Arabidopsis thaliana: one gene and its partner. The protein of the gene in region 2 interacts with the protein of the main gene of each other region in a pairwise test. Each region holds a gene or a part of one and is shown on either strand. Other genes may lie near its edges.

Region 1 (7,327 bases), 7.8 Mb from region 2:
TGGCTCTTCTACCAAACACAGTTCAAAAGCAAAAAGGTAGCATACACATATATCAAATAATACCTCAAGGCCGATGTTGAAAAGCAAGAAAACTACTCCAAATTCTGCGATGGCCCTGGTTCCGTGCACATTACGGATTATCGAAAGACCATACGGACCAATCAGAATTCCAGCTGCCAAATACCCAAGAACAGGGCTGCCTATACATTGCAGCAGATGAAGCCATCAAGATGGCACATAAATCTCTATGCAACATGATTGCGAGACCAGAACTGAAAATGTTTTTGACTGATGAGAACATAGAAATTGTAGGAGTTTGAGGGAAAGGGGAAACAAATAGTAATGCAATGGATAGAATTAACAAAAGAAGAAAAAAAAATACTACTTACCTCCAGGAATTTTCTGAAATAGAGGCACAAATATGACGCTTGCTAGCAGTAACCACAAAAAGTCAAAGAGGGAAGCTTCTTCCTCATTGACCTATTAATTGCAGAAAGTTTCAGCCTGCAAAGTACATTCCATACAATTTGCACTTCGTAAAAGAAAAAAAAAAACAAGAACAATTGTTCATACCTCCTGGTGAGGGATCATCTCAAGTAGTTTCTTAATTCTCTTGGGAAGTTTCTGCACTTGCCGGATCAGTGGCTTCGTACTTGAAGAGACATCTTCTGTACTAGTGCTGGTAACATCTGGCTGTTGAAGCAACTGGTTGTTCCCCCCTACTCCATTGGAGTATAATGTCAGTCTGGAACGAATAAGAAGCTCGTATCAACAAAAAGAGAACTTTCTGTACAAAAATGATTCTTCAAAACTCGAAGCAAAGAAGAGTAAATTTTCAAACTGACCCTGCTCCAAGAAGAGCAAGCCCAAGAACTAGTTTGGGCCATTGCTGTTTGACAGAACCAACCAGACTACCAAACACTGTCGCGGTCCCATCTGGATTAGAAGAGAAGAAAGATGCAGAAAAGAAACGGGAGGATTTATTAAACGATGCCTTGGGAGAATTAAGAGAGGAACCCTCCTTTGGCAGATCTTTTTGAGTTTCCTGTTTTTTTGTCTGAACATTAATCTTTGGCTTTTCAGAATCTGCTTCAACCACTTTAGAAGACTCTACACTTGGCTTTCCATTCTCATGATCGCTTGACTCATAAGGCTGAGTTAGTTTTTTATTCCTCTGACCAACTATATCAGGCACAAGTTCAGCTGTGATCTGTACCACTGGTAGATCTCCATCTTTAGGTGATTCTTTTTCAACCTGATGGGTAACATCTTCAACGTTACCTGAAAGTACCATCGCATCCTCCTGAGAAGTTTCTTCATCCGAGAGTTGGCCCTGAGTTTCCTCTGGGGTCTGAGAAATGGAGAGAGACTTCTCTGCTCTCTGTAAAGCAATCTCTGCATCATTAACGCGTTGAGTAGCCTCAAGCTCAAATGCTACAGCTTGTTCAGCCAATTTCATAATATTGGTAACATCCTCCTCGGCTTTCAACGAACTGATCTGTATTGTCTCAGCGAACTCATTCAACTTGTCCACTTCCTTTTGCAGCTCGTCTTTTTTGCTCAGCAAAGCACTCAGTTGGGACTCACAATTATCTAAATTAACTTGGCATTCTTTAATATCATCCTTGGCAGCTAAAAGAGCTTCTTCTTTATCATTAACATCTATTGTTTCCTCAGTCTCTTCAGACACATGTGGAATATCATTCCCTGCACCAGCTTCAAGTGATTCCACTATAACCTGAAGCCTAGCTTCAGCCAGAGACAGGGCCATAGTAGCCGTTTGAACAGCTTCTTTAGCAAGAGCCTCCTCATAAACAGTATCTCGAATGACATCAAGGGTTTTGTTTACGTCAAGCCAAGCAGTAGCAGCTTCATCCTTGAGTGCTATGGCTCTTTCTGAGATTCTCTGAGCCTTTTCCTCAAACATGGTACTATTGAGCCTAGCAACTTCCAATTCTTTAATTGCCTTGTGTAGTAACTCCTTGAGTTCCTCCAAACTATCAGTGTCGTTTTCCACTCTCGCATCTTTCAAATCTGTAGCTTCAGTTTCATCACTACTTTCGGAAGATTCCCCGATCCGATGATCATTACTATCGGCATTACCCAGAGATTCATGACCCTGACAACGTAACCTAAATCCAAAAGGGATTCTTTTGGCTTGGTGGCCATTGCCAAGTATTGATTTTGTAGAATGCAAATGACCACTATAAAACCTTCCAGAGAAACACGCATTCATCAAATTCAATGTACCACTTTGTGCTACATTTCTCCTCAATCGAAAACACGAATGCACTTTAGAATCCCCAGATGTAATGCTGATTCCTTTAGGACTTATCAATCGATTTGGAAAGCAGTAACTCGCACCATCTCCACCATGGAATAGAATCGGCCTTTGAAAAGTAGACGCATACTCCATATCGGAAATCAAATAAAAAAAGTAGCCTTACTTTATTCCTCGAACCTTATATACAACTCCTGTGAAGCAAAACGAAATTCCACACATTCAGACGACCAAGATAAAAAAAATCAACGACAAGCCACGGACAGATAGAGAGGCTAACCAATCATGGAAAGTTGAGTAAGAATGGAAGAAAGGTGGAAACGGAAAGGAGTGGCTCTCGTCTTCAATTCCGTTCGTTTCAAACAGATAATTTTGGCTCGTCTCTTCAAATTTTCCCAGTCAAACAACTTTCTCTGTCTCCTCCTTTTTGAGTTTCTCGCCAACCAGACATCATTGCTAAGGCCGTTTTTAGATACTTTTACGAAAACACCCTCTCTCACCTAACGAAATAATGAATGATTCACATCACCCGATAACCACTTGGTTTGATCCGGTATATAAGTAGTTTGGTATCTTTGAACCGAACAGATATTACATCGAATATCATCATCACCATCGGAAAGCATATCATAAGCAGCACACATAGAGTGAAAAAACATCAATTCTTGCCTTTTTTTCGTGTGTAATAATAAATGTATAACGAATGAATTAAAAAAATAACAAAAAAAATCATGTCTTCATATGGAAACAACTCATTACAAATGAAATCAAATCTTTCCCCCGCAACAACATTCATTCAATCATTCACTCAAAAACACTCATGTAAGAGATATTCAAGACTCTGAAACGCCATTCTCTTCCTTGGCCTCCACGGCGACGTCTTCGGTAGGTTCCGGTGGAAGAGTGTTGCCTGAGGCTGTGCGACGGTGATTGGCGGCTTGGAGGACGTGAGCGTAGTTTCCTTTCTCCATGAAGAGTTGGTTAAAGTGATGTCGGCAATAGAGAACGCTATCTAAGGAGGCGTAGGAGGAGTGAGTCAGCGTACACCCACCGTGAGCGCACCGGAAACATGTCTTGTGGAAGCATTCTCCTTCCATTTGTATCTGTTACCAAATAACCCGATTAGAACCAAGCCAAAATTGATTCCACATTTGCTTGGACCAACCAACATCACGTTCTCAAATCGAACCAAAAGTATACTAAACCAAACCAAAATCAAAATTTTATTTCCATTTGATCTAGTAATGATTTTATCCGAACAGAAAAATTCTACGGAAATGAAAAAACAAAAAACAAATTCTAGAGCAAATAAATTTCTCTACGAGACTAGTTCGTTGGTATTTTAGGCCATGAGAACATTTGCAGATGCGTATACCACTAACCTTTTCAAGAGGGTAAACAGTTTTTTCGCAAGCGGCACACTTGTCTTGTGTTCCACAGAAGATGGAAGATATCTTGCTGGGAGTCCTAGTCTGTAATGTTTAAATCAGTACACAGATCCTATTAGTCGATCATAAAAGAAAGAAAATGAAATATTGACACGCTAATCATATACAAGGACATGTAATGATGAACCTACCAGCTCTGGCTTCTCAGTTTTTCCTGAGAAAAGAAAGAGACTTGTTATGATCATGATGATTTGAAAGATAGAGAGATTCGATGTCAGAGATTTTATAATACGAACCTGGTTGAAAGTTTTTGCTGAAATTGCCAGATTCCTTGAAGAGTTGCTCAAAATGAGTCTTGCAGTACAAAACTCCGTCCATGGAGGAATAGTTGCTCATCTGCCATCAACACATAGATAAATTGTTGATATAATATGATCATAGAAGATCTAACAAGAAAATGAGTAATGAGTGCACCTGAAGGGTTCCTTTGCAATGGGTACACCTGAAGCAAGACTTGTGGTAAGGCATTCCTTCAATGGACAACATGTCCACCACATAGACTGTCTTATCACAAACATTGCATTTGTCGAGAGTTCCTGTGAAAGACATTTTTTTTGTTTTATCTTTTTTTTTTTTGGTTTTTTTTTGGTTGTTGTTGTTTCCTTCCTTCTCCAAGATCCTGTATGAAACAGATTTTTTAATTTTTTTTCCAACAAATCAAGAGGTCATCTGAGGAATTAGTTAAAGAAGGAAACCTTTACCTCAGACAACGGAGGAACCTGCGAAATTTCTGTCCTCTTTTATATGAAACTTTGTTGCAATTGTGAGGTTGTAACGGAGGAAGGTTTTTTCCTTTTTTTCTTTCTCTCTCTCTCTCTCTCTCTCTTTGATCTTTTTTGCAAAATGAATGAGATAAAATTGGGTGGCAAAGTGATTGGAGTTGAGCAAAAGAAGGGTTGTGGTTTCTGACAATTTCAATCCAATAAGGGATTGTTACTTTAAGCCAACTGTCTCTGAGGTGGTGCAACCCATGTCAGTCAGATCCTGCAAAAGAATATAACAACAACCTAACATTACACAAATATATAATATCATTCTCTCTCAATCAAAACAATGCTTTTAATACTTATCTGTATGCGTATCTATCAAGATATCCAGTTGTAAATTAAAGTAATTTTAATGTATAGAAGTAAAAGAAAGTGAAGCACCACTAAGTCGATTCCTTCTTTTTCTATTATCTTTTAGAACTATAGTGTAGTTCAAGTCTCCCTTTTTATTAACATATTACCACAGAATTTGAATAGAAAAATCTGATATGCAAAGTTAAAGTAGTCTTACAACACAACTTGTTGACACAAGATGAGATCTGAGATTGTCTTTCCGTGTCGGTCGATCCTCCTGGAACAGTTGACTCCACCATCTAATATGTTCCGTACGACAACATTCATAGCATGAATGCCTTCAACGTCATATATCTCTACTGACACATTTTCATCCATTGGTTTTGCATCCAATTCCAGAAACGAAGAGGTTGATAACAGAACTGACATCACATGCTTTACCCATTGAGGAGTAATTATGAGTTTCAGACGCTCGACATCTGGGGAATAATGCGGGATTATTGAGAAGTTTATGTCGTTTCCTTTATCGCCAGCCCGGCTATGTGCAACAGAGTAGAGTGGGATCTTTTGGCCAGATGGAGCAGGAGAGTGATGAAATCCAGATTGATAGCCTCTCATTGTAAGGTTCTTTGGATTTTCCTTAGGTAACTACAAATGGAAGTAATAACAAGGTGTTAATACAAATGCACATGTTAGAGTTCTTTCACATTTTCAGCTTTCAAATAGTAAAACATATCTATCAGTCATCAGAGTTAGTTTGATGTTCGAACACACTAGGATTGATTCACCAAGGAATTTGAATTCAGGTCATGTTTATTTCCATTATCTATCAGTCATCACAATTAGTTTAGTAAGAACTCTCGAGCTAACCTTTGGCATTTTCTCTGGAGAATGATGTTCAGAGGTCTCTGGCTCTGAAGTGTTGGTGTGCTGAAGTCCAGTTTTCCACATTACAGATTCACGGCTGACCTGGATAACCAAACATATAACATCAGAATCCGTAAAATTGATTGATGCAAGGCTATATTAGTTTAAATTTTTTGATGGAGACGACCTACCAAACGCTTTTCAAGAACAATTTCCATCTTGTGTCCGGTACTGCATATAATTTACAAGCAGTTTTGTCAAACCAAAAAGACCACCCCGAATCTCATAACAAATAACTAGTTTCAATACATTGTCCCTAGTCATAAGATGTCTCAACTCAACAGGATTTGGTACTACTGTAAAGCTACAATTAGCATTGGATTGATATATGGAGCGAACATCAACGTGAAGAAATTACCTAATTCCACCACCACCAGCTGGTCCGTTTGTATATAGAGCAGTAAACTCTTTTGTTAACTGGACCGCATGTTCCTTCAGTTTAAAAAGACCATCCATACGTAATCTAATATCTCCACATGACTGCCAAGATTCAGTGCCGTTGCTTGTCGCCTTCAAGCTATCAACCCCAATCACATAAGAAAGAATACAATGGTTAACACCAGGAATGGTTTCTTCCATCCAAGATCGAACCTGAAAGAAAGAAGGAAAAAACACAAGTAAAATACGTACATACACTTGATAAGAAATGAACTCCAATTTAAGGCACCATAAGGAGTCATTTCAAGCGACGATGGGGCCAAAAAATGCTACTACATCATAGACATATTAATCATAGGCGCACCAGAAACTCTGAAGCTTTAGCACGTTGTATAGAACCATTTCCTCCATAAGATATCTCTCCCCACCCTTTCCAACCACACTCCTGCAAAGAAAATACGAATTATAGAACCAAACATAGGTTGCTCTTTAGCATCAATCAAATACCACCAGCATTTTCTATGGATAACAACCTTTGGAATTAACCGCAAGAGTTTCTCAGGCACAGAAGTGTTAGAAGATGGTTTTGCTCCACTGCATTGTACTTTGCAGTCTGACAGGGGAAGGAAAGAAACACCTCGAATATCGATTACCTGCAAAGAAGGTTTTCAAATCAAATATTTCCGCCGTTTTTACAGTTATTTCTTCTAGATTTTGTACAGCTAACTTACCACATCAGGTGTAATGTAGGCACTAGGGTCAGCAATTTCATACAGAAGTTGCTCGGCGCAAGTACTGGTATTTAAAATTCCACCACTACCTTCAACCTTTGATACACATACTTTACCATCATAGCCAATCTCTGCATAAGGAAGTGACAAATCCTGGAGAAGAGGGAAAGCCATGTCTCTATACTGATCACCTAAAGAACATTGAGGAACGAAATGACCATACTGATAATGGAAAACAGTAGTTCATCATATCTTCCCTGAGCCAATAAGCGTAAAACGCACCTGGATGCATGAAGTATCCACCAGTGAGCTGGCAACCGCACTCCAGAAGGTGGCCAGCGAGAGTTCCCTGAGCTAGCAGCTCCAAGTCATTCCAATTCCAACCTAGTTCATAGACCTGATGACACAACAAGAATGATCAGATTTAATCACGAAACAGGAAACGACAAGAACGCCTCACCATTGGTGCTAAAAATAAGGCGGCATCAGCCACTCTTGAAG
Region 2 (6,486 bases):
CAAAGCGAATCTGCAATGGTTTCGCAACGATCCACCATGTTCGTTAGTTCTATCGTTCACATTGTCCTTAAGGAACTGATCAATCATGTAAACATTTAATGGACTTTACAAAGAATCTTGAGTCCTCTGTTGTATTAATTGTTTACCAATTACCAGCTTCCATAGCGTTTCTGGTTGCAAGTACTTAACCATCTTGGAGGCGTAAACAGTTTTGCCAGAGAAAGTTGATAATCCATCTGATTCTAATGACAACATAGGGGTTAAAACGTAAAATTAAAAACAATAGGGAAACATTATAGAATATAGATAAACTTCAGGGATCAAAATGAAAGAATACAAGACAGAGAAATCTACCGTCTCTTCTTCAAACCAAACCCAGAACCTCCGTCCGACCAATTCCGGTGCAGCTAAGAACCAGAGATAGAGAGATAGAGATGCGGAGGATCAATTCACTGTACGGAAGAATTGGTCTCCTAAAACGAGTACCCGAGAAATCTACGAAGCAAGCTCATACATTTCTCGCATCTCTCTCCTTCTCTACGGAAGGTGCTTATGGCGGTGACGGTGAGTTTCAGCAGAACAGCTCCAAAGTCAAGATCTTTGACCGAGACCTCAAGCGAATACATGTGTAGTGTTCGAATTCATCTTACATTTGCCTCTCTCTCTTATTATTAATCCAGATTTCGAGTTCTTATAATTTGTGTGTTCGATTGATTTGCAGCGTGATCGAGCGGCGTGGCTTTCTCGCCAAAAAAACGATTCTTTTGTTGACGCTGTTGCAGATAATCTACTTGATCGCTTAGAGGTACTCTTTTGTTTGATGCATGCTCGCCATTGAGAGAGCAATTTAGCTTCTCTTGGGGCTAAATTTCTCGATTTCAATCAAGCTTAGTAAATATTGTTTTTGCTCTTTCTTAAGGATTGTAAGAAGAGTTTTCCCACTGCATTTTGTTTGGGAGGATCTCTTGGTGCTGTTAAGAGATTACTACGTGGTCGCGGTTAGTTTATCTCTCTCTTGACTGTTCTGGTTCTGCATTTTGAGTGTTGTTGATGATGATTTTTGGCTTTGTTGCACAGGTGGGATTGAGAAGCTTATCATGATGGATACTTCATATGACATGATTAAGTCATGTAGAGATGCTCAAGACGATTCACTCGATAACTCCATTGAAACCTCTTACTTTGTTGGTGATGAAGAGTTTCTGCCAGTCAAAGAGAGGTAACAAGGACGTTATTGTAAAACCTGTTTTTCTTTGTTTTTTTCCCCTTGCTGCGACTCACTAGAGTTCTATTACCTACTAATATCTTGTCAAATATGTTGTATGTGAAGTTCGGTTGATTTGATCATTAGTTCGTTGGGGCTTCACTGGACAAATGATCTTCCTGGATCCATGATACAGGTTTTCTCGTTTTCGTTGCTTTTTGTTGGTGTATGTGAATTGGTTTGTCCTATGAGAAAATATTTATAATGTGTTGGTTTTGGATTGTAATAACTGCAGTGCAAGCTAGCACTGAAGCCGGATGGCTTATTTTTAGCAGCAATTCTTGGTGGAGAAACCTTAAAGTTTGTCCTCTCTTTCATTTCAAATCAATACTCAATGTAGAGTCTCTTATTCCATATCATGTTTCTGATTAGCCTTTACGTATTGAAATTATTTACAAGGGAGCTGAGAATAGCATGCACTTTGGCTCACATGGAGCGGGAAGGAGGGATTAGTCCTCGGCTATCACCTTTGGCACAGGTGTGTGTGAATATCTTAGCAAGATCAAGTTGATTTCTAGTACTGAGGTGAAAGAACATGGCTTCTCTTTTCTTTTTCAGGTTAGGGACGCAGGGAATCTGTTGACCAGGGCGGGTTTTAGTCTTCCTGGTGTTGATGTTGATGAATATGTAGTTAAATACAAGAGAGGTAAACTGTTCCACTTTTTTCCTACTTCATCGTTTGCAACAACGTGTATCTTCCAAGAATTATTTCTGATTTGCCTTCTCGTTTATATCTTTCTACTCAGCGATGGATCTTATAGAGCATCTTCGTGCGATGGGTGAAACCAATGCTCTTCTCGAGAGAAACAAGATTTTGAATCGTGAAACTGCTGTTGCCACGGCAGCCATATATGACTCCATGTTTGCCACAGAGGACGGCACTATACCCGCTACTTTTCAGGTCTGTCCATAATAGTTCAGAACTAACTCAACAGTGAAAAAAACCCATAACCTAGCTTCATTATTCAAGTTGTTTTGCTACAATCCATGATTAAAACAATTTTATGCTAAATACTACAAGTGAAATTAACAACATTTGAGGCCTAAAGTATATATCGTTTGGCATTCTTGTGTAGGTGATTTACATGACAGGATGGAGAGAACATTCGTCTCACCCGCAGGCCAAACGAAGAGGTTCAGCCACCGTATCCTTCACGGATCTCCAAAAGCAATTTGGCGGACAATCTTGATGGAATGATTGAAGAAGAGAAACATTCAATAAGCAGAGACTTTACAAATGACACTTGAGAGAGAAATCAGTGACTTAAGCTATAAGGTACTTGGAGGAACTCTTGTAGATTTGTCGGAGTCTTTCACTGGGCGAAAGCATCACAATTAGGACGCCTGCTTTCGCCCATGTATTTCGTATCGAATAATAGCTGATCAGAAACATATTTGTATTTTACAAAAATATTACGAATACTTAAAAATCTCAATCTTCAATCACGAAACATGATCTCGCGCTAGGTTTCTTGAATAGATTTGTATACAATGGACCAAACTTCACTAAATCAGTGAAACAAACATTAATCAAAACCTTATAATGTATATTCACAACCATTTGATTGTTTCTCTGTGGTACCTAATCTTGTTTTGAGTAAGATTTTAGCACCACACCTGTTTTGATTATGGTACAAAATCTTACTCAAAAGAAGATCAAACGTGATCATGACCGTCGAGATAAATCAAACGTGATCGTGGCCGCCCAGATAATCATACACTGAAATATTCAACGGCTCCACTTGATCAGCTCCATTCTCGTAATACGTCGTCGTATCTCCGCATCCAGAGTTCACGCTGGTACTGTGGACGATTCCGGCGTCAATGGCCATGCCGGCGTTAGAAGCAGCTTGCTGGATAGATCTCGGAGAAGTTCTGGAAACGAGTGAAGGATTAAGCAAATGAGGGAAATTGAGAGATTCTAAAGAATCAGGTTGGTGTAAACAGAAGAAAGCAACGTCGTGTGCTACGGCGGCACCTTCTGCTGTTGAGAATGAACCTAACCAGAGACGGTCACGAGTTCCCGGAACTCTAATCTCTGATACCCATTTGCCCCATTTCCGACGACGGATTCCTTTGTACTTTGACTGACTTTCACCGGTGGATTCTCTGTAATCCATTTTTTGTTGTTGTATGATGATCGATGTGAAGAAGAAGAAGAAGAAGAAGAGACTTTTGAGTGTTGTTTATGTTTGAATATGAAGATACAAAGACTATTTATACGTTGAAGTTTAGTGAAAGTCAAAATATTATATAATATTTTTTAATATGAATCAAGAATGAGAATGAAGTTGACCAATTATAAAACTAGTTAATTCTCGAGGAAAAAATCAACTGGTCAAAGTATGACCCATTTTTTTAGTGGTACCAATTTGACATGTGCCTGACTAGTCGATTTTTTTTTCTTTCAAGTTGTAACTTTTTTTTTTGCTGTGTCTAACAGTAAATTCAATGTATTTAGAAAGTAAGAGTCATTTCTATAAAACAAGTGGTATATATACCGTTCTGTTTGGTTTCAAAATAAATGATATTTTTTGTTTTTTTAAAATAGAAAATTAATCTTTATTTTTTGTTGTTGTTGCTTTGGTATATCATAGTTAGGTTACCTTAATTTATAGGTTTTTCATTTTTTTTTATATGAAAAAGTCTTAAGTCGAAATCTAGAATTTTATACTACTATATATCCTCTATTTCGTTTCATAAAAATCTGTAAAATAGGTGATGACATAATAGTATAGAGAAAAGCAGTGAAAAACACAAAAGTCGATTCAAACTCCACCGATGAAGAATGTGAAAACGTCGTCGTCGATGGTTAAACCACGTGGGATAAAGAAAGACTTTCTTTGCCTTTTTTGGTTACAAATTGCGTCATGCGTGACATGAGCACCGTCTAAAGGGGGTCCTTTATTTTTGGCATTTGACCAAAGATCTGTAATGACTTAATGATTCTCCACGGACAACACACAGACACAACAGCCCAAACTAACTGGAAAAAGTTATTTTTTGTCTTCTTCTGTGTCTGCTGACTCATGTACATGGTTGTCAAATTTTAGTTCACACACAACCACATCCAAAACACGAATCATCCACGGAGAAACCCAGTCTCATAATGTATTTAATGTGTTTTCATCCTTCGGATGCATAACCAATTCTTTGTAGTTGATACTTGATTAGGTTTTTCTCGACACTGACATTTGGGAGTTGATTGTGATGTGATACACCGTCTTATCATAGTCACCGACTCATTTAGAAGAAACCTCAAAGGTAACTTGGTAAGTTACGATTAGAGATGTTTTTAGAAACGTCTAGCAGATTATTGATATCTGACAATAAATATTCACACCTACTCGGTTGGTCTATGCGATTTTAGACAATTTAAATGTTTATAAAAACCCTAGTGTATCAGTATATATAAAATCAATATTAATGAAATAATGCAATTAATAAATTACTTATTATAAGTTCTTATAAAAAAAATACTAGTGACCTCATTTTGTAATATCAAAAACTGGTGCCAACTTCATCTAACACGATTTATTTAACCTTGGTAATATTTTGAAAAAACCATAAATTTATAAAGTTGTTACAGTCAGATTTTAGTGGGCTAAAATGGGTTACAATTGCAATGGGTCTGGAAGTGGACAAATCTAAACAAGCGGCCCAAATCATCTGAGCACATGCCAGAACATTGAATAAATGTCAAAAAGGAGTCTCTTTCTACATAACCTTCACGCGCGGCTACTCCTACTTTCGCTTCGTCCGGTTCCGTCGATACTGTCTCCGAATCACTGTCTTCTTTCCTTTTTCTTCCTACATGACATCTGTCTTATCTCTTTTATGTTTCTCTAGATGTACTTATACTTCCATGTTTCGTCTGTATACGGTATGTTTCGCTCACCACATGTTCGATGAAATTCCTCAACGAAACTTTTTTTTTATCTTTCTCACCTTTCTTCCTTTGACTTTCAGACGGAGAAGCAAAATTGCTTGAACTTTCGCTTTGATGGATCAAACTAGTCTTGGAACAATAATCAAAATCCATTCGTTGCCATCATATGCAGCTTACTGTATATGCCGTCTTCTCCTTCTCGCTCTATACTCAGAGGTCTCACTGTATCCGAAATTTGCAAGTTTATTCCTCAATCGTGGAAACAGCTGCCGAGACCCATCTCAGAAACTTCCAAAACCCATGATGATGAATCAGTTCCACAAGTGCTTTTCAATTCATTTAGACATTGCATTTCCCATGGTCAATTATATGAAGCTTTCAGAACTTTCTCTCTACTTCGCTACCAGTCTGGTTCTCATGAATTCGTTTTGTATTCATCAGCTTCTCTTCTATCTACATGTGTGGGTTTTAATGAGTTTGTTCCTGGCCAGCAACTTCATGCTCATTGTATCTCGTCGGGTTTGGAGTTTGACTCTGTTTTGGTCCCAAAGTTGGTCACTTTCTACTCTGCTTTTAATCTCCTTGACGAAGCTCAGACCATTACTGAGAACTCTGAGATTTTGCATCCCTTGCCGTGGAATGTGCTCATCGGTTCGTATATTAGGAACAAAAGGTTTCAGGAGTCTGTTTCTGTTTACAAGCGAATGATGAGTAAAGGAATTAGAGCGGATGAATTTACTTACCCGTCTGTTATCAAGGCTTGTGCAGCATTACTGGATTTTGCATATGGGAGAGTTGTTCATGGCTCTATTGAGGTTAGCTCTCACAGGTGTAACTTGTATGTCTGCAACGCGTTGATATCTATGTATAAAAGATTTGGTAAAGTGGATGTTGCTCGGAGATTGTTTGACAGGATGTCTGAAAGGGATGCTGTCTCATGGAATGCAATAATCAACTGTTATACTTCAGAAGAAAAGTTAGGGGAAGCTTTTAAGCTTCTTGATAGAATGTATCTCTCTGGTGTCGAAGCGAGTATTGTAACTTGGAACACAATAGCTGGAGGTTGTTTGGAGGCAGGAAATTACATAGGGGCTTTGAATTGTGTTGTTGGGATGAGAAATTGCAATGTAAGAATAGGTTCTGTAGCTATGATTAATGGTTTAAAGGCATGCTCACACATTGGAGCGTTAAAGTGGGGGAAAGTATTTCATTGCCTTGTGATCCGTAGTTGTAGTTTTTCCCATGATATTGACAATGTTCGGAATTCGTTGATCACAATGTACTCAAGATGCAGTGATCTTAGGCACGCGTTTATAGTGTTTCAGCAGGTTGA

The links. The genes of interacting proteins can lie anywhere in the genome.
Region 1: the proteins of AT1G22810 (region 2) and PLIM2b interact in a two-hybrid assay, tested with the Arabidopsis thaliana proteins (one large-scale study listed by BioGRID).

Annotation. Positions count from the first base shown.
Region 1 is NC_003070.9:279,870-287,196, reverse strand, and holds PLIM2b (GATA type zinc finger transcription factor family protein), read right to left. Parts: upstream 4,437-7,327; 5' UTR 4,279-4,436; coding exon 4,144-4,278; intron 4,066-4,143; coding exon 3,966-4,065; intron 3,884-3,965; coding exon 3,861-3,883; intron 3,754-3,860; coding exon 3,664-3,753; intron 3,385-3,663; coding exon 3,115-3,384; 3' UTR 2,952-3,114; downstream 1-2,951. Other genes in the region: KEA1 (K+ efflux antiporter 1), read right to left, coding at 64-200, 390-480, 574-745, 846-2,416; AT1G01770 (propionyl-CoA carboxylase), read right to left, coding at 4,707-4,713, 5,008-5,438, 5,661-5,759, 5,849-5,888, 6,076-6,308, 6,460-6,540, 6,629-6,748, 6,827-7,017 and 2 more. UniProt on the Arabidopsis thaliana protein: Binds to actin filaments and promotes cross-linking into thick bundles. Has an actin-stabilizing activity. The actin regulatory activities are inhibited by pH > 6.8 but are [Ca(2+)] independent.
Region 2 is NC_003070.9:8,071,586-8,078,071, forward strand, and holds AT1G22810 (Integrase-type DNA-binding superfamily protein), read right to left. Parts: upstream 3,453-6,486; 5' UTR 3,385-3,452; coding exon 2,950-3,384; 3' UTR 2,646-2,949; downstream 1-2,645. Other genes in the region: AT1G22800 (S-adenosyl-L-methionine-dependent methyltransferases superfamily protein), read left to right, coding at 435-626, 722-805, 920-998, 1,078-1,219, 1,331-1,400, 1,500-1,564, 1,664-1,742, 1,823-1,910 and 2 more; AT1G22830 (Tetratricopeptide repeat (TPR)-like superfamily protein), read left to right, coding at 5,336-6,486.